2 linked regions of the Astyanax mexicanus genome follow. The protein of the gene in region 2 interacts with the protein of the main gene of each other region in a pairwise test. Links are inferred from orthologs where the notes say so. Each region holds a gene or a part of one and is shown on either strand. Other genes may lie near its edges.

The links.
Region 1: the proteins of wdr4 (region 2) and rabggtb interact in binary tests that used the Homo sapiens proteins (3 or more experiments, as listed by UniProt). The two-hybrid records come from large-scale screens. The link is inferred for Astyanax mexicanus from reciprocal best matches to the Homo sapiens genes WDR4 and RABGGTB.

Annotation. Positions count from the first base shown.
Region 1 is NC_064425.1:41,692,293-41,708,395, reverse strand, and holds the start of rabggtb (geranylgeranyl transferase type-2 subunit beta), read right to left. Parts: upstream 7,941-16,103; 5' UTR 7,878-7,940; coding exon 7,875-7,877; intron 6,622-7,874; coding exon 6,514-6,621; intron 5,396-6,513; coding exon 5,198-5,395; intron 5,014-5,197; coding exon 4,908-5,013; intron 4,804-4,907; coding exon 4,751-4,803; intron 3,141-4,750; coding exon 3,030-3,140; intron 2,157-3,029; coding exon 2,031-2,156; intron 1,034-2,030; coding exon 884-1,033; intron 1-883. Other genes in the region: acadm (medium-chain specific acyl-CoA dehydrogenase, mitochondrial), read right to left, coding at 12,626-12,697, 13,104-13,352, 14,015-14,110, 15,563-15,703. UniProt on the Homo sapiens protein: Catalyzes the transfer of a geranylgeranyl moiety from geranylgeranyl diphosphate to both cysteines of Rab proteins with the C-terminal sequence -XXCC, -XCXC and -CCXX, such as RAB1A, RAB3A, RAB5A and RAB7A.
Region 2 is NC_064418.1:42,008,452-42,024,601, forward strand, and holds wdr4 (tRNA (guanine-N(7)-)-methyltransferase non-catalytic subunit wdr4), read right to left. Parts: upstream 9,107-16,150; 5' UTR 9,088-9,106; coding exon 9,005-9,087; intron 7,456-9,004; coding exon 7,387-7,455; intron 6,913-7,386; coding exon 6,766-6,912; intron 6,661-6,765; coding exon 6,504-6,660; intron 6,036-6,503; coding exon 5,923-6,035; intron 5,805-5,922; coding exon 5,744-5,804; intron 5,580-5,743; coding exon 5,475-5,579; intron 4,687-5,474; coding exon 4,616-4,686; intron 4,429-4,615; coding exon 4,242-4,428; intron 4,149-4,241; coding exon 4,076-4,148; intron 3,830-4,075; coding exon 3,615-3,829; 3' UTR 3,417-3,614; downstream 1-3,416. Other genes in the region: pde9aa (high affinity cGMP-specific 3',5'-cyclic phosphodiesterase 9A), read left to right, coding at 4-99, 195-245; si:ch211-140m22.7 (skin secretory protein xP2), read left to right, coding at 9,157-9,211, 10,968-11,035, 12,548-12,647, 14,189-15,526. UniProt on the Homo sapiens protein: Non-catalytic component of the METTL1-WDR4 methyltransferase complex required for the formation of N(7)-methylguanine in a subset of RNA species, such as tRNAs, mRNAs and microRNAs (miRNAs).

The sequences.
Region 1 (16,103 bases), on a different chromosome or scaffold from region 2:
ATTTAATCTGATTAATTATTTAATCAATTGACATCACTAATTTATTACTTTGTTAGAACATTACTTATTAGCTATAATCTACCAAACACAAGTTTTCTTCCTTTTTTGCTGTATTTATAGAATTTAATATGTAACATTTTAAGTATGTCTTTTATATCGCCTGTAAGTCATAAATTAATTAAAGTCTAAATGAATTATAATTAAAAATATAAATATAAATATAGAGAAATATAGTTTAAAAAACACCTTACAGTGTGCGACATCACACTAAAGAAAACTCTACATACTCTATATTCTATACATAAAGCAGCTGTGATATTCATTAAAACAAGCTTGGATCAGATCTGTCTCAGCTAATATTAAACAATAAATTACTTGGATTTGACTGAATGAAACTGGATCGGAAGATCCCAGTAGATATTACTCACACTGATTCCAGGGAGCTGAGAAATTCTCATATGCATTGTTTGTATATATTGGCTGATATTACTGCATTTCTCTGCTTTAGACTTGTACTTTCTCTCTCAATGACAATTTAAAGTTTAACCCAATCCAATCCAATTTAATCTACTCAAGTCTAATCCAATATATGGGTTTGATTTAAAGGGGTCTGGAGCAGCTGGAGGCTGTTCAGCAGTCTCTCTGTACGGGCAGGAATAAGAGCCTGAAGCTGCTGAAGTCCTTATAAATGAGCTGTTCTCATATCTGTGAGGGGTTTATTCATTCCAGTGTAATACCAGGCTCAAATACAGGGGGAGCTTATAGGGGCTTAATGAGATCAGCCCGAATGTACACAGAGCTGCAGAACGCACACCTTAGAGAAATGTGTGCTAGTACTAATATACACTAATATACACTAATATTACTGCTGTATAAAGCGCACCATGTCTCCGGGTCTGTCGGCGAACCCCCCCGTCTCCTCGTCCTGACAGGCCAGGATAAAGTTACGCAGCTTGGCTTTATCAATCCAGTGAATTCTGCCGATGATCTTCAGCGCTGCGAGAACCCACCATGAGTAACACACATCTGGCAGCTAAAAACACCAAAACAAAGCAATTTATATACATAATCTTTGTGACATAGCCATCTTAGCTGGCCATGCCAACTTTCATAAGTTAGCTTCTTCAGCATTTGTGTTAGAATTCCATCATTTTAAGCATACAGTACCAATGCAATACCTTGCAAACACCGTAAATTCAGTGTTTTTCATTATTTGTAAAATGTTCAGCACTGTAAATTAATACTAAAGTCATCTAAACTATAAAGAAAAACATCTAGAATTATTAAGTGTTAAACAAACCAGAATATGTTGCTTAAATGACAGTTTTGCACATCTCTGCTGCATTTTCCCAGTCAGCTTTATGAGGCAGAGTCACCTGGAATTCAGGCTTTCAGTTAACAGCTGTGCTGAACTCATCAAGAGTTAATTACTTGAATTTCTTGTCTCTTAATAAAGGGTTTGAGAGCATCAGTTAAAGTAAAGTAGTGAAGAGGTAGAGTTACAGGTATACAGTGAATAATAGTGAATATTTGAGTAATGTTCGAATCCAGGTTATGAGAAGCAACAACTACTCAACTACTATTTAAGTATCCTTAATTTAAGTAGTTTTGTGCAGTCACAAGACCATCAAAAACATCATAATGAAACTGGTTCTCATCAGGAACAGGAAAAGGAGAGAAAGAGTTTCCTCTGTTTTACAGAATAAGCACCACAGATAAGAGCATCTAAATGCTTCTTCACAGAGTATTTTTTTGGTTTGTTTAACACTTTTAAGTTACTACATGATTCCTTATGTGTTTCTTCATAGTCTGAATCACTTTACTATTTCATTCATTACTACGTGGGGAAAAAAATATTAAAACATTTAATAAAAAGAGTGTAAAAAATATGTATATCTTTTTCTCTCCAAAATTACTGAAAATGAAATATTTTCACACTGACGTCCCTTAAAAACTATCCTTTGTTTTTTTTCTCCCAATATGCAAATAGAGTATATAAATATGTAAATTCAAGACTGTGATGTGGAAACCTTCTCTGGTCTCCCGTTGAGGCCTCCAGACGGCAGCTGTCTCTCACAGAGCCACCAGCCCAGCAGATCTGCATTCACCTGATGGAGCTGACCGGTGATGGACAGGAAACCCGTACAACAGTAAATCTGCAGAAACAGAGAAAAATACAGTTTACAAAATTAACTCTCACATACAGATAAATAAAAAAAAAATCTATATAGTGTTGCTAGCATTATTCTCCATCAAAATCAGTAAATCTGTACTTGATTTGCATTTTGATCTTTAAGGGCATTTTTTTGTATAATTGTTATGTTTACAGTTATATTCTGTATTTTAGATAGATAGATACAAATACAAAACAGACACAAAATACAAATAAATAAATACAAATAAATAAATAAAAATACAAAATACTTTTAGTATTGTGATATGTTTTTTTGTTGCATTGCATAAATATTATAGTACATTATTACTTTATTACTTTTTTATTTCATACAAAATATTTTTTTATGTGATTAAAAAATAAATAATAATAATAATAATAATAATAATAATAATAATAATAATAATAATAATAATAATAATAATAAATACATTTATTTTGTTGCAGCAGACTATTATTGAAATTTATTCAAATATCTTTATACATTTTAGTATTGCGGTAGTTTTTTTTTTTTTTTTAATTCCACACACTTTATATTACATTATTCGTTTAACTTCTTTATTTTAAATAAAAAAAGATGTTATTATTATTATTTTTTTCTTCTTCTTATTATTATTATTATTTTGAACAATTATTATTTTATACAACTCAAGTCTTGTTAAGTTACTGTTGCAAAATAGACAAAAGTTTAAGACAGATTATTTGTTTCTACTGTACTTTTGAACTTTAACATGAATTTTGTTGCAGTAGTATGTTCTTGAAATTAATATATATGTTCCAGTGATTTGTCATATCACCAAGAATAACATTATTGTATAAAGGGTTTCTTATTTCAGTGTGTGTGTGTGTGTCTGACCTGTCCAGCGTGAGACTCAGAGCCGGGTCTACAGCCGAACCCCCCGTCAAAATTCATACAGGACAGAACAAACTCCACCGCCTTCTCCACATTTACCGCATCCAGCCTGCCCTGAAACACCCCAACACAATATACAATATATCAGTGTTTATCATCACCATATCTGATAGCATAGTATTTGACCTCAATTGTCGAAATTTCCTAGTTTAAAGTATAAAATTTTAACTAAAGTGCTAAAATATAATTGTCTATTGGGAGCGCAGTCAACTTAGATGTGACATCACTTCCAACTCAAACAGCCAACTCCTGAGGTAAACGGCAAATGGACCAATAGAAAGTTAAAACAGTTCTTTTTTCTCTTTATAAAGGTGAGATAAATTCGCTAGTTGCATGAGACGACGCTGCCTGTTTCCGGTCTACGACTGGTAGGCGGAGTCATTTCCGCTTTTCAGCGCCGGTCAGCAGACAGTATGGCTTTCTACACGCGATCTCTCCAGGACTTACCAAAAATAACTATAAATGATGTACAGCGCCCAGGAGTAAGAGAGAATATATATATATAAATATTATTTTTGATCTATTTTTAAGTTATTCCCTGTGTCTAGACCCTCTGTAAGTTATAAATATGTATAATGTATACTGGCATCGGGATATATATATAGTTGTTTACTATTGTATATCCTAAGTTTCAAACAGTTCAGTGTGTGATTAACCCAGAACCCATTATTTATAATATATTATATATATATTTTATATTTATATTTTGTATATATATATATTTTATATTTATATTATATATATATATATATATATATATATATATATATATATATATATATATATATTATTATTTATATATATATATATATATATTATATATATATATATATATATATATATATATATATATATTATTTATAAATAATTATGTATATATAGATATAGATAGAGAGAGAGAGATAGATAAGTTCTACCCTGTGTCTAGACCCTCTGTAAGTTATACTGGCATCGGGAGATATATAGTTGTTTACTATTGTATATCCTTAGTTTCAAACAGTTCAGTGTGTGATTAACCCAGAAGTTCTCTAAAATTGTTTGTTAATGTTTAATATGCATTTATATTACATTAGTATTCAAACCGTAAAATATTTGTGTTCCCTCATTATCCCAATAATATGTAAACAACGTTTGTTTTACCTGAATCAATTTTGTATTTTTTTTTTGTATTCAAAACTGGCTCTGGATTCTTATGGGTCAATTTATTTATTTTTATTGAATAAGCTTGTAAATATGCCTTAAACTTTTCATGTGACCAACAGTAATGAATTTTATAAAAGAAAAACTGGCCCATTGCCTTCGTTATTGGAAATAAAGGCATGAAATAGTATTGTTGTTGAATTTAATTTTTTTTTTTTTATTATTAAAATATAACAGTTTGGTATGTTTCCCAGTGTCTCCAAATTTTTATAGAGGATCCTTTAATTATAAAAATAACACAGTCAGTTTTTTTTGTTTTGTGTTTTTCGTTTCTCCTTAACTTTAAAAACACTCATGGTCGCTTTCACGCTGTACTCCTGCCGGCAGTTCTCCCCACAACAACTCCAACCGGAAACTAGTATACCTACCACTCACTACCCGGAAGTTAGGTGGCGCCATCTTGTGCACAGAGCCAATTGCACGACATCATTAAATACTGATGTTTCTGTAATAACTGATCTTACCAGTAGTGCCAGGGTAGCGACTGCACAGAAGGAAAACCTGGTATCTATTTCACCTACAGAAAAAAAAAAGACACACAAACAGTTAGACATACATACTTTTCATTTAATAACAAACAGTGTGAATATATATTTTATATATTTATTAGCTGAGAAATACCCCATTTATCTCCAGCAAAGGAACCGTCCTCCTGCTGAAGTCCTCGAACATAATCCACAACCTTATCCACATCGATCGCTTTAACATTATCATACAACGTCAGGATCTGAAAAATAAACATACAGGTCTATATACAGCTTCTACCACTCAGAAGTTCATCTGATATTTATGGCTGTGATAATAAACTATTCTCCCAAATCTCTGAACAAACAAATTATAAGCCAACACATTGTAACTGATCATTAGTGTTCTGGCTGTTAGACTGATCTGAGAGCTGTAGACTGTGTGACCTGCACGGCGCTGAGTGTGTACAGCAGGTGCGGGTCGTGGCCGATGCTGGCGCTGATCCCTCCGCAGTCATGCTGGCAGGATTTGATGAAGTCGACGATCTCCTCTCGGTTCATACGGTGGAGCTGACCCATCAGATCCATCACAGTCAGACCCCAGTAAATCCCACTCATCCTCAAATACTCCGACAGAGTGTATTCCTGCAGAGCAGAGGGGAACAACACTATCAGTCTATTAGAGGTTACCTTACATGAATTGTTAGGTACTTTAGCCTCCTACTGTAAGAACATAACATTTATGGAATTTGTTTAATAATTAGGTTTGACTGTGAGCTGTCTGAGATGAGAGCAAGAAAATATCTAAAAAAAAAACTAATAAAAACAACAAAAAAAAAACTTAGTGAAGTTTGGAGTTCAAGAAATGAACCGAGTCACTGATCTGTGTTTTAATTCAGTTGATCATTAAAAACATGATGTAAGAACATAATATTTATGGAATTTGTTTAATAATTAGGTTTGACTGTGTGCTGTCTGAGATGAGAGCAAGAAAATATCTAAAAAAAAAAACCTAATAAAAACAACAAAAAAAAACACTTAGTGAAGTTTGGAATTAAAGTTCAAGAAAAGAACCGAGTCACTGATCTGTGTTTTAATTCAGTTGATCATTTAAAAGCAGAGAAATCGGGTAATTAAGGCATTTAAAATATAATGTGATTTGTGTGTTGATTGGATGCTTTAAGGTGAAACAATCGATTAACAATTGCATTGATATCAGGTTGTGACGTTGTGTAAAAAAAAAACAGCTGAAGAAATGTAAAAAATGTTTATAGAAGATGCATTTTTTGGGGGCAAACATTAGAAAAAAAATTCCCAGCTTAATAACTCAAGAATGTCTCAACACACCAGCAAAAACCATATGTATGGCTAGAAAAAGGTAGAAACAAAAAGACAACATAGAGCTCAGAGGCTCAGACACTGGATTACACTTCAGAACACATTAAAACTGAGTAAATGAGTCACAGAAAATTACTCTGAACGAAACTTTAAAGACACATGCATTATTAAGTGTTTTTCACAATGGATCAATCACGGATTCTTAGAGAGTGAGGGCGCTGCAGTTTTTAGAAACTGTAGGATTTCTTTTTATCTCTTTCTAGCCATACATATGTTTTTTGCTGGCGTGTTGAGGCATTCTTGAGTTATTAAGCTGGGATTTTTTTTCTAACGTTTGCCTCCAAAAATGCCACTTCTATAAACATTTTATACATTTCATCAGATGTAAGCGTTCAGTTACATTACATCTTGCTGCAAAAACTTACGTAATCATCTTTTTTGGAGCCATAGGCAGCTATATAATCAGCATGCTTATCCAGAAAGAGAGTATTGGGGGCATCAGACTTGATGACCACGTCTTTAATCTGAGTCCCCTGTAAGACAAAAGATAAGACAAAAAAATGTATTTACATTCATACAGACAGAAAGACAGAAGAGATCATTATTGTCGAAGAACAAAGTACAACAAAATGAAGTGACAATCCCAAAGTAGAGTGCAAAAATGTGCCTGGCTATAAAAAAAAGTCACCACCTGCATTTAACTAAGTAAAAAAAGAGCCTCCCATTGGAGCATTTCTGAATACATGATTATGTAAGCAGTGACGCAATGAGTAGCTTCTCATTTGTTAAACAACCATGTGGAAAGACGCATCCTGTGGTTGTGGAAAGGATGTTAATCTTTCAGATGGGTAAAATTATTAACATGCATCAGGCAGAGAACACAGCTACGAAGGTTAAGAAGAGAGACGACTGAAGTGATGCAGCATCATGCATCAGGAATGAGTGCAATATATCATGCATCAGGAATGGCATAATGTTATCCAAAAGCAGTGTGTAAGACTGGTGAAGGAGAACATGCCACAATACAAGAAAACTGTGGTTAAAAAACAGGGATATTCCACCAAATACTGATTTCTTAACTCTTAAAACTTTATGAATATGAACTTGTTTTCTTTGCATTATTTGAGGTCTGAAAGCTCTGCATCTTTCTTGTTATTTCAGCCATTTCTCATTTTCTGCAAATAAATGCTCTAAATGATGATATTTTTATTTTGAATTTGGGAAATATTTTATCCGTAGTTTATCGAATAAAACAACAATGTTCATTTTACTCAAACGTAAACCTATAAATGGCAAAATCAGAATAACTGATTCAGGAACTGAAGTGGTCTCCTCCTTTTTTCTAGGGCTGTATATTAGTTTTCTGTCCAAAAACAATTACTCTTATTTACCTCATACTTCTAAACCTTTTAGTAACATCAACCTCATATTTCTACTCATAGAACTCTTTATTAGAAACCTCTACATTTCTTTAAACAATATATTTTAACGCTAGATATCGAGCTATTTTCAAGTTTTATTCATTTTTTCCATTCCACCTTAAATGCCGCAGAAGTTCACTTAGGGCTGCCAAAGCGTTACTACTATAACTGCAGTAGCATTTAAGGTGGAACGGAAAATTCAAACACGGCGCTGTCTGAATTTGTGTTGTTTTACTTACAGGATTAACTTAATGTACCAATATTAACACACCTAACACACTGATAAACACTGACAACTCAAACCTGACTAAAACGATCTTAATAACAGCTTACAAACGCATAATAATACACACAGAGTCACTCACCATCCTGCTCCACAGCTAATGCTAATGCTAAAGCTATGCCCACACTGGACAGACACGTCACTACAGAGGCTCTGATGGGTCATTTTCAAATTACACATTTTGCGATTCTCTAAATATACAGCTCTGAAAAAAATAGGTATATTTATAGGTATATGTTTGAGTAAATGAATACTGTTATTTTATTCTATAAACTAGGGACAACATTTCTTCCAAAGTCCAAACAAAAATATTTTTATTTAGAGCATTTATCCGCAGAAAATGAGAAATGGCTGAAATAACAAAAAAGATGCAGAGCTTTCAGACCTCAAATACTGCAAATAAAACAAGTTCATATTCATAAAGATTTAAGAGTTCAGAAATCAATATTTTTTTTAAATAACCCTGGTTTTTAATCACAATTTTCATGCATTTTGGCATGTTCTCCTTCACCAATCTTGCACGCTGCTTTTGGATAACTTCATGCCACTCCTGGTGCAAAGATTCAAGCAGTTCAGCTTGGTTTGATGGCTTGTGATCATCCATCTTCCTCCTGTTTATATTCCAGATGTTTTCAATTTGGTAAAGTAAAAAAAAAACTTTATTTTTAAGTGGTCTCATTTTTTTCTAGAGCTGTATATATTTTTTGTATTTTTTCCACTAAATATTATTTTTACTTTAGTGACTATATTAATGTGGCAAAAATATGTATGTATTACATATTATCTATTTCACATGCTTAAGAGATACATAAAGTACTAAAGACACAGAACACAGTAAAAGTTTGTGAATTGTTCATTAAGCTCCGTACTTACTCTGTAGTAGAAGTAACTCAATCTGTTACTATAACCTTCAACAAACATCTTATATTTGAAGGGTTTCTTCTCCCAACATCAAATTTAAGATCTCTCCACAAAGTGTTCAGTGGGATTTAGATTTGGACTCATTGCTGGCCACTTCAGAACTTGGCTGCGCTTTCTTTCCATCCATCTCTTGGTGCCTTTTGAAGTATGTTTTGGGTCATTGTCTTGCTGGAAGACCCATGACCAGTGTTGGGAAGGTTACTTTTAAAATGTAATCCCTTACAGATTACTGATTACATCACTCAAAATGTAATTTGTAACGTAATCAGTTACATTACTTCAAGTGAGTAACGTAATCTGATTACTTTGGATTACTTACAATATTGTCGTTTTTTTAAGCCTGAATGAATGTAGCAACCACATATTGCATATTATTCTTTTATTTTTCTTTCCAGTTAACAAATAGATAAACAAATAAAAAGCCTTTTCAATCACTCTATAAACATACTTATGAAACCATTTCATCAAACAATTTTATGAAACACTTCTATAAATTGATAATAAAACAATTTAAAACCAAACAATGTAACAACAACTGTAAGCTATCTATTTGCAGGTTTGCCACCAGTGTTAATTTTGACAACAAATTTTGATTTAGTCTTAGTCATAGTCTTGTGACGAAAATAGCATTTAGTTTTAGTCACAATTTAGTAATTTAGTCAACTTAGTTTTAGTCGACTTAATGTCATAATAATATAGTCGACTAAAATTACAGTAAATTTAGTCGACTAAAATGTAAAGGGTGTAAATGTAAATGCATTTTCATCAGTTCCCTTGAATTATTAACTCTACACTTATATGAAATGAAACGTTTAATAACCACTTGAGTAATATTGTTAATGTTTGAATGTGAAATATATTTATATATGATTTAATGTATATTATTATTATTATAGGTGTGTGACTATATATATTTTACATTTAAAATTTTGCTCTAGAAATCAGGTCATAAAACAACTGAATAGTTAAATTATAGTTTAAACAGAGCTGTAGATGCAAAAACAGCTTTTAAATGATCTAGTTTTATCTCCAGCACTAACCCAGCACACCTACTGGAGCTAAAGTCTATAAATGAGATCAAAAACACACCTTCACACACTGTCCTGTAGAGATGCTCTCAGGATGTACAGAGAGACTTCATGAGTTAAAGTGAGAAACTTATGAGAAAGTGCTGTAAGGAACTTTACACAGACTTTTGGGTTCATATATTCACTTATTTTATTGTTTTATTTTGGTTATATTATTGAGTTCCTTTCTGACCTGTTCCTGCTTTAACACTAGCTATATCTTTCCCACTGTGAGACTAAGCAGATGATCTGATCTTAATGAGTTAGGGTTCTGTATCAGTTCTGTGTTTTAGTGCACTGCCGAGTTAAACACATCAGCTCATGAAATAACATCAGCATTAAAACTCTGATCTCTGCATGGAGATCTGTGTGACTCTGGTCTGCAGAAGCTGAAAGATTAGTGGTGTTTTTACCGGAGATTGAGTCGCTCCACGCGGTTTACACGTTATCTTGTTTTTCGCGACGTCAAAGGAGAAATATATCGCCTCTCCCCTCTCTCTCCCTGCTGAACACTGTCGAGTTAACTTCCAGTCGAGCTCCGTAGCGACAGTTTGTAATTTTGTAACTGAGCGCGCGACGCTACTGAAGGAGAGGCGGGTACTGATTGGATGAGTACCCCGCTTATCCCGCCTCTCCACCTTCGCTAAAGTAGCAGTGATTGGATCTCTTCCTAACTGGTCCCTACCTTTCACAGAACTAAATCAGTTCTGATTGGATTTCGTCCCTGCCAAACATTTTCGTCTTGTTTTTATTCGTTGACCAAAATGTCAGTTAATTTCGTCTCGTTGTGTGTGCGGAGCCGCTGTCTGCCCCTCCTCCCTGTGTGTGTGTGTGTGTGTGTGCAGCGAGATGGGACGAGGGGCAGACAGTTCCCTTTCATATCAGAGCGATTTCACCGCAAAATGTTATTTGCGTTTTGTCAGTGTTGGAAGAGCAAAAATAGGAAAGTACCGCAATGTAATCCTTTAATTTTAGCAGAGTAACTGTAATCTGATTACCATTTATTGAAGCAGTAACTGTAACGGATTACAGTTACTTATAATTTGTAATCTGATTACGTAACGCCGTTACATGTAATCCGTTACTTCCCAACACTGAACATGACCTAGGATGCAAACCCAGCTTTCTGACACTGGGCTCAACATTGCCACCCTTCGGTAATCTTCAGACTTCATGGTGCCTGGCAAAAGTCAAGGCACCCAGTTCTTAAGGCAGCAAATCCATTTTTGGTAAACAGCAGAATGATGTGTTCACAAAAGACATTTTTTTAGAAAGGTTTTTGGCTTACTCATGTACATTTTGGCAAACTGTGTGTATGAAAACTTTTGGGGTTGCTAATTATTTTTGTGGAACTGCGAAGTGCAATGACCAAGGAATGTATGACTATCTATCCATTTCATAGACCTCAATCTAAAGAATTTTATTTTACACCAATCTGTCTAAACAGAGAGCAGTAGAAGGGTCTGTAGTTTTGAAATGATGTGTTCATTGAAGTCATATGCATATGACTTAAACTGAAGAATTTTGACAAATAATACTGAACTATTTTTCTAAAATGAAAAATAATGCAATGGAATTCTGTGTTTAAAAAGGGTACATACATTTGGTCACTTATTTTCACTTAAATAAACAACAAAATGTGTTTTGTTTAGTGCGCCTAAACATTTGCTTGCACTCATTTACTCAATCACACTTTTTCAGTGTTTGATATATTAGGCAGCAAGTGAACAGTCAGTTCTTGAAGTTGACTTGTTGAAACAGAAAAAATAGACAAGTATAAGAATTAGAGACATTTTAATAAGGACCAAATAAGGATGTTCTAGACAACGACTGGTTCAAAACATTTCCAGAACTTTAGACAATTCTTGTGGGGATATGCTAAAAAATGTAAAAAATAAGGGAGTGCTAATGTTATTGTAGATTAATCTGATTTATTCTATCAGAATTTAATGGTGAGTGGACCAATAGAAATATTCCAACATCACTGAATAAAATCTATTTAACTTGACTTTTACTGAAAAATAAGGTGTTTGCTTGTTTTGTTTCTGTAAAGTAAAAATTTTGGGTCATTGTCTTGCTGGAAGGCCTATGTCCTAGGACACAAAACCAGCTTTCCGACACTGCTCCTACAATGCCACCCAAAATCTTCCAGTATTCTACACACAGTCAAATTAGGCAAATCTTGTTTGAAAGTGTGTTGCAGCAACCTCCACCCTATTTGACTGTAGGTGCTCTCTTCTTTTCTTTGTAGTGTCACTGTGGCAGATTTGGAGAACTTAAATAAGAAGAAAAAAAAAATGAAGAAACAGTTTGACTGTATTTCTGACAGAATTGTTCATCTTTATTTATTTTTGGAAGACATACCATTTAAAAAAAACGCAAGTATTGTGTTCTTTATTATGAGTTCTATTTTGTTCAGTTTAATGCTTAACCAACAATTGTCCTACAGAATATACAAACATGAGTAATGTTAAAATGATTAAGGCAAAACGACATTGGCAACAATCCTGAGATCCATTCCTATTATTGTATAAACAGAATTCAGAGCCACGCAGGACAAAAAGACTCCACCCTAACGGACGGAAAGTTCACTGCAATTAGGATTACAATCCAGCTGCTCATCACATTCCTATAGACAGAACAGAACAATGTCCACAGCAAGACTATGGAAGTGTCTGTATAAACAATTAGAATAAGATATGGCTGTGGTGAAATATTGAACCGTGGCTCCTCTTAACTGCCTGAAAGTGATATATTATGATTACAACCATTTATTATATGAATCCTATTGAACTACACCTTTCGACTAAGGAGTGCTTCTCCCGGTGAAGGTGCTGAGATACGTTCACTGCTTATACTTTCCAAGATGCTCTCGAGAGATGATGAGTCTTTGGATTTGGGCCGTTCCTTCATAAATCTGAAAAAGAAAGGAAGCAGAAACAAATTATTCCTCAGAAATAAATAAATAAATAAATAAATAATAATAATAATAATAATAATAAAAAAAAAAAGATAGCCCCAGTTTTGCTGAAATGCCATTGCCACTGACAATTCTGGTGAACAATGCTGAGATGGGAATCAAAATATATCGCTGCACTGAAAATATGGACCCTTGTTGTTTTTAGTTTTTTTTACATAGTTTAAAAGCTGTTGTCTCTTTGTACACTTTGTTAATAATACTAAAGAAACTGACCAACAAAAAAGCTCAAAAAGTACTAAGTACAAACTATTAATTTACATTATCTTCAATTGAAAGATAAGAACATATTTGCCTTCTCCTGTAAAGTAAAAAAAAAGTATTAACTACTGATTCTTTTTCTAACCTGATAAATCTTTGCGTCTCTCATAAGCTTCTCCACGGGGTATTCACTGTTGAATCCGTTCCCACCGAAGATCTGGACGGCATCACTCGCGACCTGGTTGGCGATGTCTCCGGCGTAGGCTTTGGCGATGGAGGCGTAGTAAGTGTTCCTTCTGCCATCATCCACCTCCCAGGCAGCTCTCTGATAGGCCAGCCTGGCCAGCTCCACCTTCATGGCCATCTCTGCCAGCATGAAGGAAACGGCCTGGTGCTGGAGGAATAAAATAAAAGACAAACTGTAATGACGTTCATATGATCCACACGCTCATTCTGTCAGACTGTAATACAGTACAGGAAGTGTAGAGGGTGCTCTATACTCACACTTCATACACTGTTTCTTACAGAATGTAAAGCACTATAGAAAGTGTAGAGAACACTCTATAATGCTACATAACGTTTACATGATCCACATACTCATTGTGACAGAATGTAATACACTACAGAAAGTGTAAGGGCACTCTAAAATGCTCTATAATATTCATATGATGAGTGTAGGGGGCGCTCTATAATCATACAATCCACAGGCTCATTCTGACAGACTGTAATAAACAACAGGAAGTGTAGGGGGCGCTCTATAATGCTCTATAATGTTCATATGATTCACACTCTCCTTCTGACAGACTGTAATACACTACAGGAAGTGTAGGGGGAGCCCTATAATGCTCATTATTCACACACTTGTTCTAACAGACTGTAATACACTACAGGAAGTGCAGGGGGGACTACAGCAGTGTACAGTTAATTTTTTTTATGGCTCACCTCATAACTACTTTCTCAGGAGTGTCTAATTAACAAAAGTAACAAAAGACGTATAATTAAAAGAAATATTTCGGCTCCTTTGTTAATAATTAGAGCATTAGAGAAATCACCTACCTCAGCAATGAACCTGCCGAACGTCTTCCTCTCTAAGGCGTATTTGGTGGCCTCATCCAGCGCTCTCTGGGCCAGCCCTGTTGCACCCGCAGCAACCTGAAAGTGTGTATTTAAATGAATATATTAAAAGTATATTTGCCCCATACTAAAGCTACAAATGCACCCTGACACAATAACATTTTTGTTAATAATCTGTATGTAGGCCTATCACAATTATTACAGAAATTATTCAGCTTCATTACATGACCTCAATACTGCCTATAGTTTTTACATAGCAAAGACTGCTATAGGAACCAGACAGTATGTTAACTAGGGTTGCCAGTCATTCTGTAAAAGGGGCAAATTTTATTTAGCAATTAACACTAAATAGAACAATAATGATCAACCCCTTCCCCTGCCAAATCATAGTTCTTTATATCCCAATTATCTTTAATCATTAAGACTCTCGTCCTGCTGGAAAATGAAATGTGCATCTCCATAAAAGTTGTGCGTTTATATACATTGCATACATACATATATAGACAACTTCTATGGAGATGCAGATTTCATTTTCCAGCAGGACTTGGCACAGTGGCCAGTTGTCTTATATGACACCAACTGGTATTACATAATATTCTAATTTTCTGAGACTGATTTTTGGGCAGTCAAAAATAAAAAAAATAAATAAAAAAATTAAGGAGTCTCATATTTTTCCAAAGCTGTATGCATAGTTATTGCAACATATATATACTGCCATGAATTAAAACCATTATTAATCTGTGATAACAGAGGACACTGGCTGCACTGTAAATAAATCAGCTATTTATAGAACCTGATCTTCACAGTCTCATCCAATAACAGTGTCTAAATAACAGTGTCATAACTTTAACCTTTGACCCAATACTGTCCGGATACCATCCTGATCCATTATAGACAGACATTACCGGCATGCTCAGTAAAGCTCTGGAAAATATGACCCTGGTCTAGTCTACTAACTGCTGACTACATCTGGGCTTTGTGACTAAAAACTCCTTTCTCTTTGTGCTTAGGAGAAATGCAGAATTGCTGTTATATAATACCAAAAGCACAGCATGCTGTAAATTCTAATAGTAAAAATGTCACTATATTAGCAAGTATAACTTTATTATACTTTTAATCAATGAATATAAAACTGCACTGGATGTTAAGATGTTTGAGATTGTAAAATAAAATATTTCTACTACATAATTAAAAAACAATACTTATTGTAACTGTTATCCCTGCAGAAGTCAAATCATTTCCACAAACTGATCTCACACAGATACTAGGAAGTGAGATATTGCAATATTATATATTTTGTATATTTTACACAAGATATTAAACATGTTGATATTTAAGATACACTGCTCGTCTCTAATGCTGACTGTGCAGCTTTGCTGGTTTCACAGTAACTGCTGATCCTGGTCATTGTTTTACACAGTTCCAGTACAAAGGTCTTCTGCACTGCACAGCTGGACGTGGTACAGATGGTACACATGGTCCTCTGGCTGCTCTGACACTAGAGTGTAACTGATGGGAGGAGACTCTTACCGGAGGCCTGGTCTTGTCGAAAGCACCCATGGCGATCTTAAACCCCGCCCCCTCTCCAATCAGCACATTCTCTTTGGGGATTCTCACATCCTCGAAGGTGATGCCCCGGGTGTCGGAGCACCTCTGACCCATGTTCATTTCCTGTGGGCAGAGGGAGGAATATCAGAGGGTAATGCCATCTCAAACACCATCCAATCAGTGATCAAGAAAGAGAACAGGACCATAATTTATTCACACGGTTTCATTACTAGACAAAAAAAAAATAAAAAAAAAATCAAGAACTCAAGAAAACAAGTTAGCAGCTCCCTAAATAAAAGCACCTAAATTCTTCAGAGTATTCTGGTTTGTTTAACACTTTTTCCTATTGGTTTTTGCCAATTTAGCCAATTGTCCCACCCACTGATCACTGGTAATGCCACAACACCAGGAAGGTGAAGACTAGCACACGCCTCCTCCAACACATGTAAAGTCAGACTCGGCCTCTTTTTGCTGCTGATGCAGCATTACCGAGATGCATCACAGTGCTAACGCTCGGAGGAAA
Region 2 (16,150 bases):
CAGCTTTTCCCTCAGATTGAAGATGTGATGGTTCAGCCACTCAGAGAGTCCAGAGATAGATACGAGGAGCTCAAACAGATCGATGACGCCATGAATGAGGTCAGAATCTGGATTGAGGCAGGCATCTGCACACCACTGCTCTGTTTTTCTCTCTCAGTTTCTGTTTATTCACCTAGTTTTTTTCTTCCACACAGGTCCAGAAAAAGAAGAGTGAGAATCTCACCATGGGAGGAAAAAAGAAATGAGGTTAGTGTTTATCATTGTTTAATGTTATATCCTACATTTTATTGTAATGCCCTAAAACATTTTTCTGAACATACAGTTCCTATGGGCATATATATATATATGTATATATATATATATATATATATAGAGTTTTGGACAAAGGATTTTTTTTTTTTTTTTCTGTATTCATGTTTACCCTAATCTTTTCTAATATAGACGTATATATATATTTTTTATTAAGGAGAATTTGTATTAAGAATGTATAGAAATATATAACAATAACACTGCCTTACATTGTGTTGGATTTCCAATAGGGTAAATCCTCTGAGGGTCCAGTAGACTGCAGGATGGACAGAAGAATGTTGGGTGATGTGCTGGCCAGACAATCCAAAGCCTTTCAGGGAACTTGAACTGTGTACAGCACAGACATCATGTCATCTGTCTCTGTTCTATAGATAGTCTCTATTTGCCTTTGTTTTTATTTGGTTTTATATATATATATATATAAATATGAGATATAAATATTATTCAGGATGTACAGATTTTTAGTCACTTTTGCTCTTTACTACAAAAATAAAGTTTTAAGTATAAAATGATGAAATTGTGTGGGCTTGTTTTGTCATTTAAGAACACATACAGTCAGTATGCACATTTTTCTATGTGTATTGCTATTGTTGTGGTGTTTTTTCATTAGGGATATCAACATTAAAGCGTTAACACATTCGATTAATGTAGAATCAGTAACATGTTACCATTTTTTAATGCATTTAATTCCAGCACTAAGTTTGACTCCAACTTTCATTGTAATCTGCCCCGTCCCCGCCCAACATGCACATTTTCTTTTTCTGGAGCAGTTTGTTTGTGATGAGAACATGATTTGGTCTCAGTATGTGCAGCATTCACTGCTGCAATTCTTTAGCATTCTGTGTTAAAGCAGCTTCACACTGCTCAGATATACGCGCTGGAACACAGAATTCACTTTTTTGCACCCGCACTAGACAGCTCTGGCCAATCAGAGGAAACAATTTGTTTGTTTTGGTGCATTTAGGTTTATGCCTGTAAGAAACCAAATCAAACAGAGGGAGAAACGCTCATCAACTGATGAAGTAAATGAACTCATTAACTGATCAGTACCAGAGAAACCAACTACATTAAGTCCTAATTCAGAAATCCTTACAACCAAGCTGAGATATTTACAATAAAGTAAAAAAAAAAAAAGTTTTCTCTATCCAATTAATCATGCATTCTTTATTCCAGTGCCCGATGTTGGTTTTATCCCTCCTCAAACATACAAGTATATACTAGTATTTTAATTGACACCACTAATATAAATATGATTGCATTTTACATTTCTTACATTCATTCTTTTATTGACATTTAAATGCCCACTATAAAAATGTGCATCTTAAGAAGAACAAGTGTGATTAATCGCAGCTAATCAAAGAATATTGTTGTGATTAATCTGATTACATTTTTAAATCGATTGACACTAGTTTTAATACATTACATTTTACAACATTTCTGCATACCAAGGGTGCTTTGTGACAAATTCTTAGAATTCCAAGATCAATATATTAATAAATCACTAATGATGATTGTGGAATGCTGTTTATATTAGATGAGCACTGTAATATGTAATGTAAAAGGCATGAATAAAAGAAGATAAGAAGAGGAATAGATTGGCTGCCTCTGCCATGCTGAAACTATGCGGGTGGGAAGTAAGCATGTTGATTGAAGCCCACAGAGATCCCTGATGAAAACATGGTTATGTCATCAGTAGTGTCACACAGAAGTGTCTGTCTGGCTCTAAGAACAAGGACAGTGGTTGCGTCACATATGAAGAGGTGCAGTTATGTGCAGTCTCATTGTGACTGCACCAGATTCCCTGGTGTGAGGTATGTTTTCACAAACTGCTGGTGAGATTTTACAATAGGTCAGTTTTAGATTCAGATCTTTAGATTTACGTTTAAATTCTGTATGTTACATAAAATCAACATGTCTGAGCTTACCTAAGGTTTAGAGTCACATTATCTCACAAGTGATGTAGCTCTTTTTCTACCTTTTGGTTTAGTTATACCTAAATTCATAAACATTTGGTAGGGGCCCTTTTACCGTATTTTTCGGTAAACCGTACTATAAAATCCTACTACTTAAAATCCTTTAATTTTACCAAAAACTGTCCACTCCACTAAAGTACAGAGTTATACAGGAGTTTCAATTTAGTTACCCAGCACTAAGGCTTGAGCAGTATTAGCATTAGCCGCTAGCCGTGCTAAGCACTAGCTCTTTCGCCATTTAGAGGTGAGTATATCGGGCTGTAGCCTGCTGCTAACCCTACCTAGCACTGCTGGAGCAGCAGTAGCATTAACTGTGCTAAGCACTAGCTCTTTTACTCTTCAGAAGTGAGTAAATTGAACTGCAGTCTGCGTCTTTACCATGTTAAAACAAGCTATGTGGAACGAAACGCTAGCTAATATCGCCCTGACTTTCCAAAACAGTCAGAGTAACGTTACCTCAGTGTAGCGATGTCAGGCAACATTAGCTGCTAACCACATCTAGCACTAGCAGTTAGCTGCTGATGCTAATGCTGCTCCACCCAGCCTCAGTGGATATCTGGAAATCTAAGCCTACTGCAATAAACAAAAACGCTTTACTCACCTAAATTAAAAGTTTTTAGGAGAGAAATCTGTGTAGATTAACATCCAGTGCTCGTTTCAATTTAAAAGAAAATCTTTTTTTTTTTTAAAGAAAGGTTTTGTTTACTTAGCTTTACTGCCAAATTAGAAAGAAAACGTGGGAAAACGCTTGTTCTTTACTAGTGTTGCATAATATGCCTTATGTATGAAAATAGACCAACAAATAGTAATTTTTTGATAGTGCACCTTATAATCCGGTATAGTAATGGTCCACCACAGAACTGTAACTGAAGGTAATGGATGCATGTGCAAGTAGTACAGACTTCACGCTAATATTACTCAGGCTATGCAGCATAATGTTCTCAAGCTGTCTCATACAGCTCCACAGTTACACAGTGTTCTGGTCCAGAGTGGGAACGACAATCAATAGTGTCCCAATTACCTTCCCTATGTACCACCATCATGAATCTGTAGCTGTTACTGTAAAGGTAAAATAGTTAAATAATTCTGTTTAAAGAGATACAACTATAGAAACAAACAAAATGCACAATGAAATATTGCTTGAAACAAAAACATTTATTTTAAAAATCCATATCATATTTCTGCATTTGTAAAAATAATCCACATTTGAATGTCAATGCAGGGACGCAGAACTGAGTTGCACTTTTGTCAACCAAGCAACCTACTGCTGGAATGTCCACCATTAAATAAATTCTAAACACATCATTTTCAGTCTCTCCTGGGTTCTAAATCTCAGCTGCAGTTTGAAGGCACTGCTTCCCTCTTTCTCTCATTCTTGCTCTTTTTTGCTGCCCCGTTGGACTGAGAGCCATTTCCTCCTGTCCTCTTCTTGCCCTCTTTCTGATCCTGCTGCTGCAGTCTCTCCTGTTTCTTCTGCAAATATGAGGCCATGTTGTCAAAGTTCACCTTGTAGAGGTGCTGGAAGCGACTCTCTACCCCGACTGAGTCTGAGCAAGAATAAAACAAAGGAAGATAGCATTGTAGTAACAGATATGATTTGAAGTGGGAAGCATGAATTAATTATGTTTAAAGAATTATTCAATTATATAACAACTTCAGAAATTAAATGTATAATAATAAAATGAAAAAAAAAAAATATTTACACTATTAAACAAAATCTATACAAAGTTATTTTTCTACACTCATTTCTGATGTAGGTTCTAAAATGACAAACTTCTTAGCAGACACCTCACCTTTAAAGAAGTCCCACTGGGTGCTCAGTGCTTCTTCTACTCTCTGAAGATCTGCACTTTCTGAATCAATCTGCTTCGCACACACAAAGCAGCAATATGAGAACATTGTGGACAACTTCAGCAGCTGCTACTACAGTAAACTCAAGTGTGTGAAGAGTTAATATACCTTCCAGCAGTCCTGCGAGTATGTGTACAGGAGCACAGTTACATCCTTGTTCTGCAGCAAGACCCAAAGTCGACCTTCAGAGTCAAAGGCCATGTCCCAGGGAGCGTGAGGCAGAGTAAGCTTCTCTGTGGGGATCAAAAGCTCTTCTGAACCGTCCTTCACCTCAAACAGCTGAATAGAGGGAAATCTATAAAGATATAAAGATCAAAAAACACTGTCACAGTTAAATAATGTTCAGATAAAATTAAATAAAGTGATAAGATCGACATCACTAAAAAGCCTGGTAATGATCTACACTGATTTATACTTCCATCTGTCGGGTTTGTTCGGTTCTTTAATAAGCTTTAAAAGTAACATTGAAAAGTAACACACACCTCTCACACTGCACAGCCACATGACGTCCATTTGGTGAGCTGATGATTCGACTCACAGCAAACCTTTGAGGCTAAAAATGACCAAATACCAAAATTATATTTACTCAAAATCAAATGTTTTCTTACATACTTAGATATTCTGCTTACAATAAATTGTGCTTTCTTTCGATTTTTGTAGAATGCTTTTTGGCTATCAATTGAACCAAGGTGATGACCATCTGATGGCCTTCACTCTCCTAATGATGATACCCCAAGTGCCATCACTTTATTCCCCACATACCCCTCCCTGAACTCCACTCTTTCCTACTCCTGCACCCCTGCAGTATTCAAATCATTTTACAATGTATGTAAAGTATTATTCTTAATCAGTCAAACAGACCGAACTGTCGACCAACTAAGCTGTGCTCGTGTATGATTTTCTGCCTACATGTAAATAAAGTTGCAATAAGAACGCCCAGACTCCTGAATCTGACCTCTGATTCCTGAAGGCCAAATTTCTAAAAAACAGTCATACACAATACAAGTAGCAGAGAAATGCTTTGATGACAGTCCAATCTTAAATATAGAAATATGTTCAATAATATACAGAAAAAAATATATATATAGAGCATAGAATGCATAAAGTGTATGGTTCAAGAACAAAACACGCCGTTAATTTTCAGTACAGATGACTGTTGAGTGTGCATTTCCAGTACAGTATTGTACAAATATTTAACATATTTCTAAACACATGGAAACTAACAAGGAGCTGAATGCTGAAGATGGGACCATCATATCCACAAATAATACAAATGTTTCAGTTCCTGTTGTTCACAAGAAACAACAAGAACAGTAGAGTAACTAGTAGAAAAGTTGTTACCTTTTCAGCATCTGTTTCAGAGCTCTGAGAAAAGCCGAGCTGCTTCATGTTAATGCTCTGTAACCGCCGGCCAGTCTCGTAATGCCAAAGCTTTAATGTGCCATCCTGCAAACAAAACACTTAAGATTTACTATGAGAGTCACAAGTACTTACAATATCTAGTGATCATGGAATAGAGTAAATTAGGATTACTGCTTAAAAAAAGACAGCCTCTAACACTGAGTAAAACTATACTGAGCTGTAAATTCAAAAGCAAATCTGATTCTTACCCCTGAGCCAGACAAGAGCCATTCAGGATGCCCAGTTGGAACAAACAATGTGCTGACAAACCTGCCAAAAACATTTTTTAAGTACATTTATATGTAAACATATAAATAAAAAAAAATCAATCAATGCCTTAATGCTACTGCATGCTGCAGTTGCCTGTGTGTGTGTGCTTTGTGCTTACTCTGTGTGTCCCAAACAGAAAGCCTGAATATTGTAAGGAGATTGGCGAAGGCTCACTCTGATCTTCTCATCTCTGTCTGCTGTGATGATGTATTTATCGTCAGGAGACAGAGTCTGGAAATCAGCGAGTTATGTTAAATCAGGTAACACAGAAATAAAAAAACAAGTACATTGAAATAGAGACACATTCTATGTTAACATCAGGCACCAGCTATCAGCCCCCAAAAAAAAAATAAAATCAAGTCTATAATAAGTCTGTAATAAATGTAAATAACAATGTTAATAAGAAAAAAGTGTATTAAAAATGTATGAATGTATGTAGCTCTACTACAAGTTCAGCTGTCTGAAGTGCTGTTCAGAAGCTTTGTTTAATTCATGTGTTACTTATCTACGCATGGAAAATTTGTCTGACTGAAAGCTTGCAGATTAAAGTGATTTTTGCACCCATTTGACTGTGCAGATGCTTCTTCTGAATTTGGCCATTGGCTTTTCATTTAAATGAAAAACAAAATTGAAAGCATTTGTAAAGCCATTTGTATCAAACAAAACATTTTCCCGAAAAAAAAAATCTATATTGCTTACTATGGCCAGCAGCATAGAGAGATGCCCCAGCTTCAGCTCGCCTTGCTTCTGCGGCTCCAGAACAGAAAATGAATAGACATCACCAGACTTATCAGCCACAAACAGCTCATCCTCTGCCTGACTGAACATCAGCGAAGTACATCTTCTCACCACCCACCTAAAGAACAGATATAGCAACATTTACTCTCTTATCAAATCCTCAAACCTGCAGCATACAGTGTAATATGGTAAATGGCAGGGTGAGGGTGTGCAGTAAATATACCGTGTGCTGATGCACTGCCAGGATGGTTGCGTGCGGAACAGAATGAGCCGTTTGTTGTCGTCTGTCAGGGCAGCGTAGTTTCCTGATGTTGAGATGGTGCAGGCAAGGATCCGGTCACTTCCCTTTTCCTCAGAACCCCCACCATCACTGTGGGGAGAGAGGCACCAGTATGAGTGGAATTAATGTTTCTGCACTGATGCAAGTGGTTGGTACAGCGTAGTGAAAATACCACTGCCCTCAGTGAGGCTGGCATAAGTTAAACTGGTTTAACCTGAGTTAACCACAAGATAACCCCTGGCAAATCTGTATAGGTGTGGCCATTTTCAGTCCGCCCCTACAGGTAACACTTCATGATTAATTTACCCACTACTAATCTCATGACATCCGGCATGTCAATGTAATATAATACTGTATTTCTTTGTTTTAAGTGTTGTAATTGAGTGCCACTTTTATAATAAAACATTTCCCCCAAATATTACACATGTATATACTTACAGACATAGTATATAGTAAGTTATATTATACAATTATAGCTCTGTAGGATCAAAAGATTTAAACACATAAAAAACTGAAAACAAAATCAACTCTCGCAATTAGTGAAAATAGAAGTAGTAAGAAAACCTTTTATTTTCAGCCTCAGTTTCCGTTGGTTTCTGCTCTGCTTTGGAACAATCAAACACGAACGGTTCCCTGTTTCACAGAAAATATTGCCAGACTATGAACTCCACAGTCAAAATTACATTAGATTACATTACATTACATTACATTTGGTAGACGCTTTTGTCCAAAGCGACTTACAATAGTGAAGTACAAAAGTAATAGAAGTTAGAGGTAAAACATCTTTAGAAAGGGCCTAAAGGAGGTCAAAGGGAAACAATGGGATAGAGGAGGGAAGGAGGGGAAAAAGGAAATGAGGTTAGAAGTAGTTAGTGTGTTAGAGGTTTTAAGAGAGTAAGTGCTCTTTGAAGAGCTCTGTCTTCAGGAGTTTATTAAAGATAGTGAGAGATTCTCCTGATCTGGTAGTAGAAGGTAGTTTGTTCCACCATTATGGAACTCTGTATGAGAACAGTCTGGATTGCTTTGTGTGAATGTTTGTTTGGTAAAGCGAGGCGACGTTCATTGGAGGAGCGCAGCGGCCGGGAGGTATCGTAAGCCTTCAGGAGTGAATGCAGGTAGGAAGGAGCTGTTTTGTCATCACCTTGTAGGCAATTGTAAAATTATACAAAGCTCAGAAAGTCAAAGCTGATGGTTAAGGTATTAGAAAAGTTGTTCATCCCAGAGAAAACATACCCTATGCTGGAAAGCCAGATGGTTAACCCACTTTCACCAGTGCAGTCTATATAAAATGTTAAATTTGATTATGTTTTGACTATGATGCTTGTTGTACAGCTGGATAACAATGTTCATCCTGGTCAACCAGTCTTGCTGTCCAGCTTGATTAAATTAATTGTGCTCATAGACCAGCTAATATTACTCAAACTAAAACAAACAACAACAAAAAAAAACACACCCTATGATGGTCAAGAGATACACTGATGAGTCTGTTTTTTTCAGCAGGGTTAAGCTACTTGAATACAGAGCCAGTATCAGCATAATAATCAGAATGATAAAAGTATAAAGTATCAGGTTAAGAGTATCAGTATAAATATAGGTTTTATATATATATAGAATTAAAAAAATGCTTAACCCGTAACTTATCTAGATCCTGAATTTGTATAAAACAATAATAATGGAACATAATAAAAAATATATAAAAATAGAGTAACAACAAAAATCATGTTAAAAAAAAAACAAAATTGCAAACAAACAAACGTAAATCCAGTAAATGGCAAAAAAAAAGCCCACTAAACATCCGCTTTCAAGAATATTGCAAAATGACACGCCCCTAGAAAACACTCTATATGCTTTATACAAATACATTATATAACATACATAGGATATAACAACACATATATAGCACAGCCATTTCTTTAATTACTACATATATAGATTACTGTAACACAACACAGAGATACGGGCCTTCATATAATACACTACATCTTAATACAATCAAATTATTATTATTACAGAAGCCTCAATTAACACATCTGCTTAATCTAGCAGTTTGTGAGCAGTTTGGAGACACGAACTCAAATGCATGGTACAGCCCTACGAACAGTCCTAATATCTGAGCACCAGACCCACATCACCACGACGTTTATGAGCAAGAAAAGGTCTATGATGAGATAAAGCCGCTGACCTGCTTTGCCTGATGTTCACTGCTACTAAATACTGAGAACTGCATGTCAGCAGCCAGTCTCCAGCACAGCACACCGCTGCCATGATCACTGCACAACCACGTGGGAACCTCCGTCGCCTGTTTAATACATCAGCAGCAACAACAGAACCTGTATGGTGTGTCTCAAAAGGAACTCAGCTGCCTGCTCCCTTGGTGCCTACAGTCAGAGTAAATAATGTTTAGAATCTTAAACTTTGTGCTGTTAAAGTGTGTACTGAGCCTTTTATAGAAATGTTTTAAAGTAAACGGTCTAATTTCAAAGATCGATCAGGTAGCTACACCTCCCTTATTATGTAGCGCTTTAAAAATCCCTTGATTACTAACTAGGCCATATGTGCGTGTGGTTTAAGACGCGCCCGTAGTGCCGCTGCAGTTCAGTTTTTGAATGCTCTAAAATATTTTTTTTTGCTTAAGTAGAAAATATTATTAAAAGTATTAGAACGGTTAATAAGGTGACATCATGAAAAAAATATAGAAATGCGATTTATTAAAGCGTGGAGAAGGGGATCCTAATGCGTGATCACGGATGGTATTGTGATGGTATTTTATAAATATATGATAAAATGAGAAATAAATAGTTTAAGTGAGATTGAATTAATTAATTGTTTCGTTTAATCGTGTAATTGTGAAAGGGAAGCTTAAATAATTATATGTTATCTATTTTATCGTTAATTAATTGTGCATTTTAGATTTGATTATTTTTTTTACTTACTTTTAATTTCTTTTTTATTATTTCATGGGTGCTATGCTATTATTTTCATGGGTGCTATGAAATTATTGAATCTGTACAAAACCATCCATCAATGTCAGTGGGCAGTCCAAACACTGACTGATGGATGCAGGTTAATTAAAAAATATAAAACCAAAAATAAATACAAATAAAAATGATTACAAGTATTTAAGCGTCTTTTACGTTTCATTAATTAATATTATTTTAACTATTCATTTAAATGAATTATTTCCTATTGTAAATAGTTATTCTTTACTACTACACAAAAACCCTCCATATTATGTATTTTATTTATTTGTAATTTAATTATTTTTTTTGCTCATAATAATCGATTATATAAATTTTACAATTATGATCTACTGTTGGAATTTCGTAAAATATATTATTTGTACTCAATGTAAGACACAGTTCAATCAATTAATAAATGCATTAAAAATAAATAAATAAATAAAAAGGGTAATAATCGTAATAATCGTTAATAATGCATTTTTAAAATACAAAAAGTTGCAAGTATGCAGTATTTTCAGTTGGTTAGAATGAGTTAATTATGGGATTTTAGAGTTTTTATTCTGTAAAAGGGGAAACATGGGAACTGGGAGAGGGGGAGGAGAAGGTGAACTAACAGAAAGGGGGCGTTCACGCAGTGCAGAGGTATTTTCACACAAACGTGGAGAGTTCGGGTTTTAAATCCGTGATTGTGTAGTAGTTTGGGCGCTTTTAGACTTGCTTTGCTTTTATAAAGGCTTTGCTTTTGGGTTCATAGATCAGACAGTGTTAGTAATCTGCTGAATATCTTCTTTTTCTAACTTTTATAACTATCTTTATAAACTAACTCCAAGACAGCAGGCAAAACTAAACCTCGGTGCACACCAGGTAGGTTTACTAACGCTCTAAATAACTTTTTTTTTTTTTATTAAAGGATAAAATATTGTCTAGGGACAGTTAAAATAACTTTTTATGATAGCTATATTCAGTATATAACGTTGGTGTGTGCTAGGGTTGTTGTGTAACGTTATATTGTGTCAGATATGCTTGTTTATGGATATTATATATATATTATAAAGCTCAATAGGCATCTTAGTACAGTGAATTACATTTCTAGTAAAGATAAGAAAAGGTAAATGATCATGAACATTGTTAATAAAAATATAAAAATGGGCTTTTCTCATTACTACTGTGCCAATGTTTCCACAGGGAGGGATTTGTGGAGCTCAAAGATGGCGGCCTCCTTGCTGAGAATAGGTCGGCTCGGCTCTCTGAAGGTAAAAACGGTATTTTTTGGCAGTTTTGAGGGTCTCGATGTGTTTACTCACATTAGTAACGTGTGTACACTTTTTTTAACGAGCTTTTGAAGTTGTGACAATCGATACAACCGCTGTAATTTCTCGAGTCCGGGCAAGGACAGTGTGTTCCAGCTGCTGACTGTTAGTGTTAACTAACCGCTAAGCTGTATAAGCTATATGATCCAGTGCCAGGCAGACAGTGGACGCAAACATGCCACTACACAAACAGCAGTTCTGTGTATTTGGTTACTGAATTTACACGTTGGTTAATCGCTGTCAAATAACAAATTGCTCATTAATCTGATCTGACGGTAGTTTCATGGTGTTGTTTAGGGGCTCAAAGCTCCACAGACCCAAATTTCGCTGCTGAACTGTTCATTGTTTATCCCCTGTGTAACTTAGTATCCACATATCCACACAGTAGTATCCAATATAGCAATGTGGCAAGTCTTTTTAGACTAATGCCACTAATTATGCAAGCTGTAGTCTTTTACTCGCAACTTGTGCTGGACAGTAAATGGATATTTTATCGTATTGTGATCATTTTTTATTGAATCGACGGTATGCATATTGAGGATATAATCACTGCCTAAATAACTCTGACTGAACTGTACAATAAACTGTAAATAAATTACAGAGTGTAAAATATAATATAAATTAGGGGTGGGCGATATTGCCGTGAAATAACAAAAAAATAATTTCAAAAATATGCTAATGCAACAAAATTTAATGGTTGGTTATATTATTGCATAGGATTTGGTGCACCTTTAATTGAGGTTTTCAACAGACTGTAACAGAAGTTATTGATCCAACTTGTCCTTATACAAAACTTATAATGCGCTATGTATATTTATAGTACATATATAGTACTTATATACACTTCATATATCCAGGATTGAAGTTAAATAAATGATCCTGGTCAGATATAATACATTTTTACAATATGATTTAATGAGATGATAATTTCAAAATGGAGATTATTTTAGGGTATTTTGTCCATAACAATATTAATAAAATTGGCAGTATTATTGTTTGTGACACAATATGGTACCAGCTCTAATATAAACCTCTGTACCTTGCACCTCGCCCTGATGCCTATATTTGGCAAATATTCAAACCGATACTGTTTTGTACTGTTTTATACTGTTCATATCAATATCGGAATTGAATCATATTGACCGAAAGTATTACATATAATGGTATATATTTTGGCCGTATCATCCAGCCATATGTGTAGCTGTTAATTGTGTACTGTTAGCAGTCATTTATTAATACTTTCACTAGTTCACAATATCTAAATTATGTTTGTACTGGACGATAATTCATTTTTTCTTTTTTTTTCAGTTGATATATTATATCAACTTGATATATTTTTTTTATATTAGTTGATAAGTGAAACAAACACTGTAGTAAATTAGATAAAAATGCAGAACTTTTGTTTGATTTGGTACAGTGTTCTTTAACCTTTTCCCTTTTGTTTTTGTACTATAGGCTCTGCAGGTGGAAAGCTGGGGTGCACTAACAAGAGCTCCAGCAGTTGCTTTTAGTTCAAAATCTGGAGACAGCAAGAAGTCCAAAAAGTCAAACAAAGGTAGAAACCCATAACACAATGTTTCATTTGTTGTTATTTGTATTTATTTTAAGTTGTATTATGTGTTAGTCATGGCTCAAAGTTGGGTACCAGCAACTTTATTTGCTTGTCAAATAACCTGCAATTTTTTTAGTACACAAGACTGGAAAAGTGTCAAAGGTTGGAGTATTTATGGACCTATATGCTGTACAATGCCAAAGATAGTTGTGGAATGTCCCCCACTGAATAGGGGTATGAATACCATACCATGTTAACTTGGTGATCCCAGCTGCTGCCAGTGTGATTTTAAAATACATTACGAAGATACTGGGATTTCTTTAAGGATTGCTTGTCTGTTTTACAGCAGTAAAAAGTACTGGTAATTGCATTGTTTGAGGTAGATGTGTTGTAGAATTTGCTACTTGATCAATAAAGACATATAACTATCAGGGTAATGTCTAAAGACTCCAAACAGGATTTAAACTGCAGCCATTTCTCCTAATCTTTTGACAAACCACCAGAATGACCAAGAAAGATTTTAATAAGTCACTTTAAGGTTACTGGTCAGGAAATAAATGAATTGTGTGCTGGTACCACATTTAGATATTTATGCGGTGTGTTTTCTCCTTTCTTTCATTTAGTTCAGGAATGTTCTCTAGGTTCCAGTGTGCTAATGACTAACATGTTTTACCAGTACAGGTGCACAAGACTTTCTACATTCCAGAATTTTGACTTCTCTCATTTATAATGTTAATTTTTTCCTTTTCTATAGAGTTTACAAAAAATATGGGTTCTAATTGACATCTTTTTTGGAAAGTACAATGGTAAATGGCAAGTATTTTGGCCAACTATTGTTTGTATTTATTCATATTATTTAATTTTTTTAATGAGGGGTATATCTTGAAACAAGCTTGGCACTTTTTGGCTAACAACAATATTTGGTTGCATATGCATAAGCTGAGCATTACAAGCTGTACAGGGCTAGATAGTAACACTAGTGCTTAGTTGCAGTAGTGTTTTTAATATGTTTTATTTTATTATTATTTGTTTAGTATTTATTTAATTATGCACCTCCATGCATCTCCACTTTCAATAATACAGAAAAAATACATTGGGGAGCAAACAAATAAATATAATGTACTTATTTTGACAGGCCTATTCCTTCTTTTATTCTATTCTTTTTTTAATACACTTTTTGTTTTGCTAGAAAAAACATAAGATATTGAAATCAATCTCACATCAGGCTAGGTATAGTTAAATTAAGCCACTGGACATTGATAGCCCAGAGCTGACCCTTTAAATTAGCTTACTTTTTCATTAGATTAGTCATACTCATATCTGTGTAGTGGTCAGTGCCAGCAGTGCCAAAAACTGGATTAGTGTTTCATAATATACCCCTTATTTGGTTCTGTACGTCAGTGCATATAAATTTAGTGTTTACTGTTGGTACTAAGTTACTTGTCTAGTTTTTTTCAGCGTTTGAAGTGGGTCAGATAACGCAAGATTGCCTGAAATAAATATGAATGTCTTTATATGTTTACCCTTCTTTTATTACGTCCCAGAAAAGGCCACGGCAAAAACGTACTTCGATATAGAAAAGCTCGTTCAACACAAATCCTATGTGGAATTCCCTCAGAAGAAGGTTGCAGCATCAGCTGCAGCTGCCACAGCTGCACAAGCTGCACCTCCTGCACCTGCAGCCCCTTCTATGCCTGAGGCTGTAGTTCCTGAGCCTGCTCCTGTTGTAGACCCAGCACCTGTTGCAGAAGTTGCTGCTGTTGCAGCTGAAACCGCACCTGTTGTTGAAGTTGCAGCCGCTGCCCCTGTGGCTGAAGCTATCCCTGTTGCAGCCGAAGCAACAGCCGCTGCAAGCGAAGCTGCGCCGGTTGCGGAAGCTGTAGCTGCAGAAGAGTCTGTTGCAGCTGCACCGAAGCCTGAGGTGATTGCTTCTACTACTGACACTGTTGTCCCGGAAGCCCCAGTGGCAGCACCTGCAGCTGCACCAGAACCTATTGTGGAAGCGGCAACTCTTGCACCAGAACCTGCACCAGAACCAGCAGCTGCTGCACCAGAACCTATTGTAGAAGCAGCACCTCCTGCACCAGAGCCTGCACCAGAACCAGCAGCTGCTGCACCAGAACCTATTGTAGAAGCAGCACCTCCTGCACCAGAACCTGCGACAAAACCAGCAGCTGCTGCACCAGAACCTATTGTAGAAGCAGCACCTCCTGCACCAGAACCTGCGACAGAACCAGCAGCTGCTGCACCAGAACCTATTGTAGAAGCAGCACCTCCTGCCCCAGAGACTGTGACAGAACCAGCAGCTGTTGCACCAGAACCTATTGTAGAAGCAGCACCTCCTGCCCCAGAGCCTCCTGTGGAAGCAGCAGAGCCTGTACCAGCCCCTGAAGCAGCTGCACCAGAGCCTATTGTGGAAGTAGAACCTCCTGCACCAGAGCCTGTGACTGAACCAGCAGCTGCTGCACCAGAGCCTACTGTGGAAGCACCTGTGGAAGCAGCACCACCTGCACCAGAGCCTCCTGTGGAAGCAGCACCAGAACCTGCCCCCGAAGCAGCTGCACCAGCCCCTGCAGAAGTTGCCTCTGAAGTTGTAGCAGAAGCTCCACCTGCCATAGAGGCTGAGGCGGCTCCAGTGGCTGATGCAGTAGCTGAGGCAGTCATAGAAGCTGCTGCTGAAGTAGTAACTGAAGCTGTCGTTGAAGCTGTCCCCGCTGTGGCAGAGGTTGTAGAGGTTGTAGCTGAAGCTGTGGCTGAAGCTGCTGTAGAAGCTGCTGCTGAAGCTGCGTCGGAAGGGGCCCCTGCAGAGGAGCTGTTAGATGCCGCAGCCGCGATTACAGATGCCGCCGAAGCTCCCATTGAAGTTGTGGAAGCGCCTGAGGGTACAAAACCCCCTTAACCCCCCCTTTCTGTCTACCTTTCAGATTGTCTAAGAATTAGACATACTTGTTTCAGTTTTTATAACTTTTTTTTAAGTTGTAATCTAACCGTAAATTGTAAGGCTATTGGTTTACATAAAGCTTGTTGTAACGTTAAAACATAACATTCTTTTATAAAAACTAGTGCCACTATGATCCAGCATCACTGCAGCCTTGTAGACTCAAGCCACTCAAACTGGGCTGTGTTCATAATCTTAAGTCGTGCCATAGACAGCAGCAGCTTGTTTGTCCACAAGGTTCACAGGTCTAACCCACTGACTGCATATAGTCCATGGAGTCCAGTGCAGAAGAGATCAGAGATGGAGCCAGACTGGTCTAATCATTAGTTATACCAAAAGAACAGTGCATGTTTCCTCTGGATGCCTAATAATTGTAATGTTTCAACAGTTTATCACGAAACTGTTTACATTTGCATAAAATTTTAGTATGAGAGTTTATCTCTGTTTGTTGTTGAAACAAACAGTAGCTACTACAGTCCAGTTTAACCCATGGGCTGCTGCTAGCGAGTCAAATATCACTAGTGATGATTTAAAGAAGAAAAATATGTTTTTAGATCCAGTCCAGATC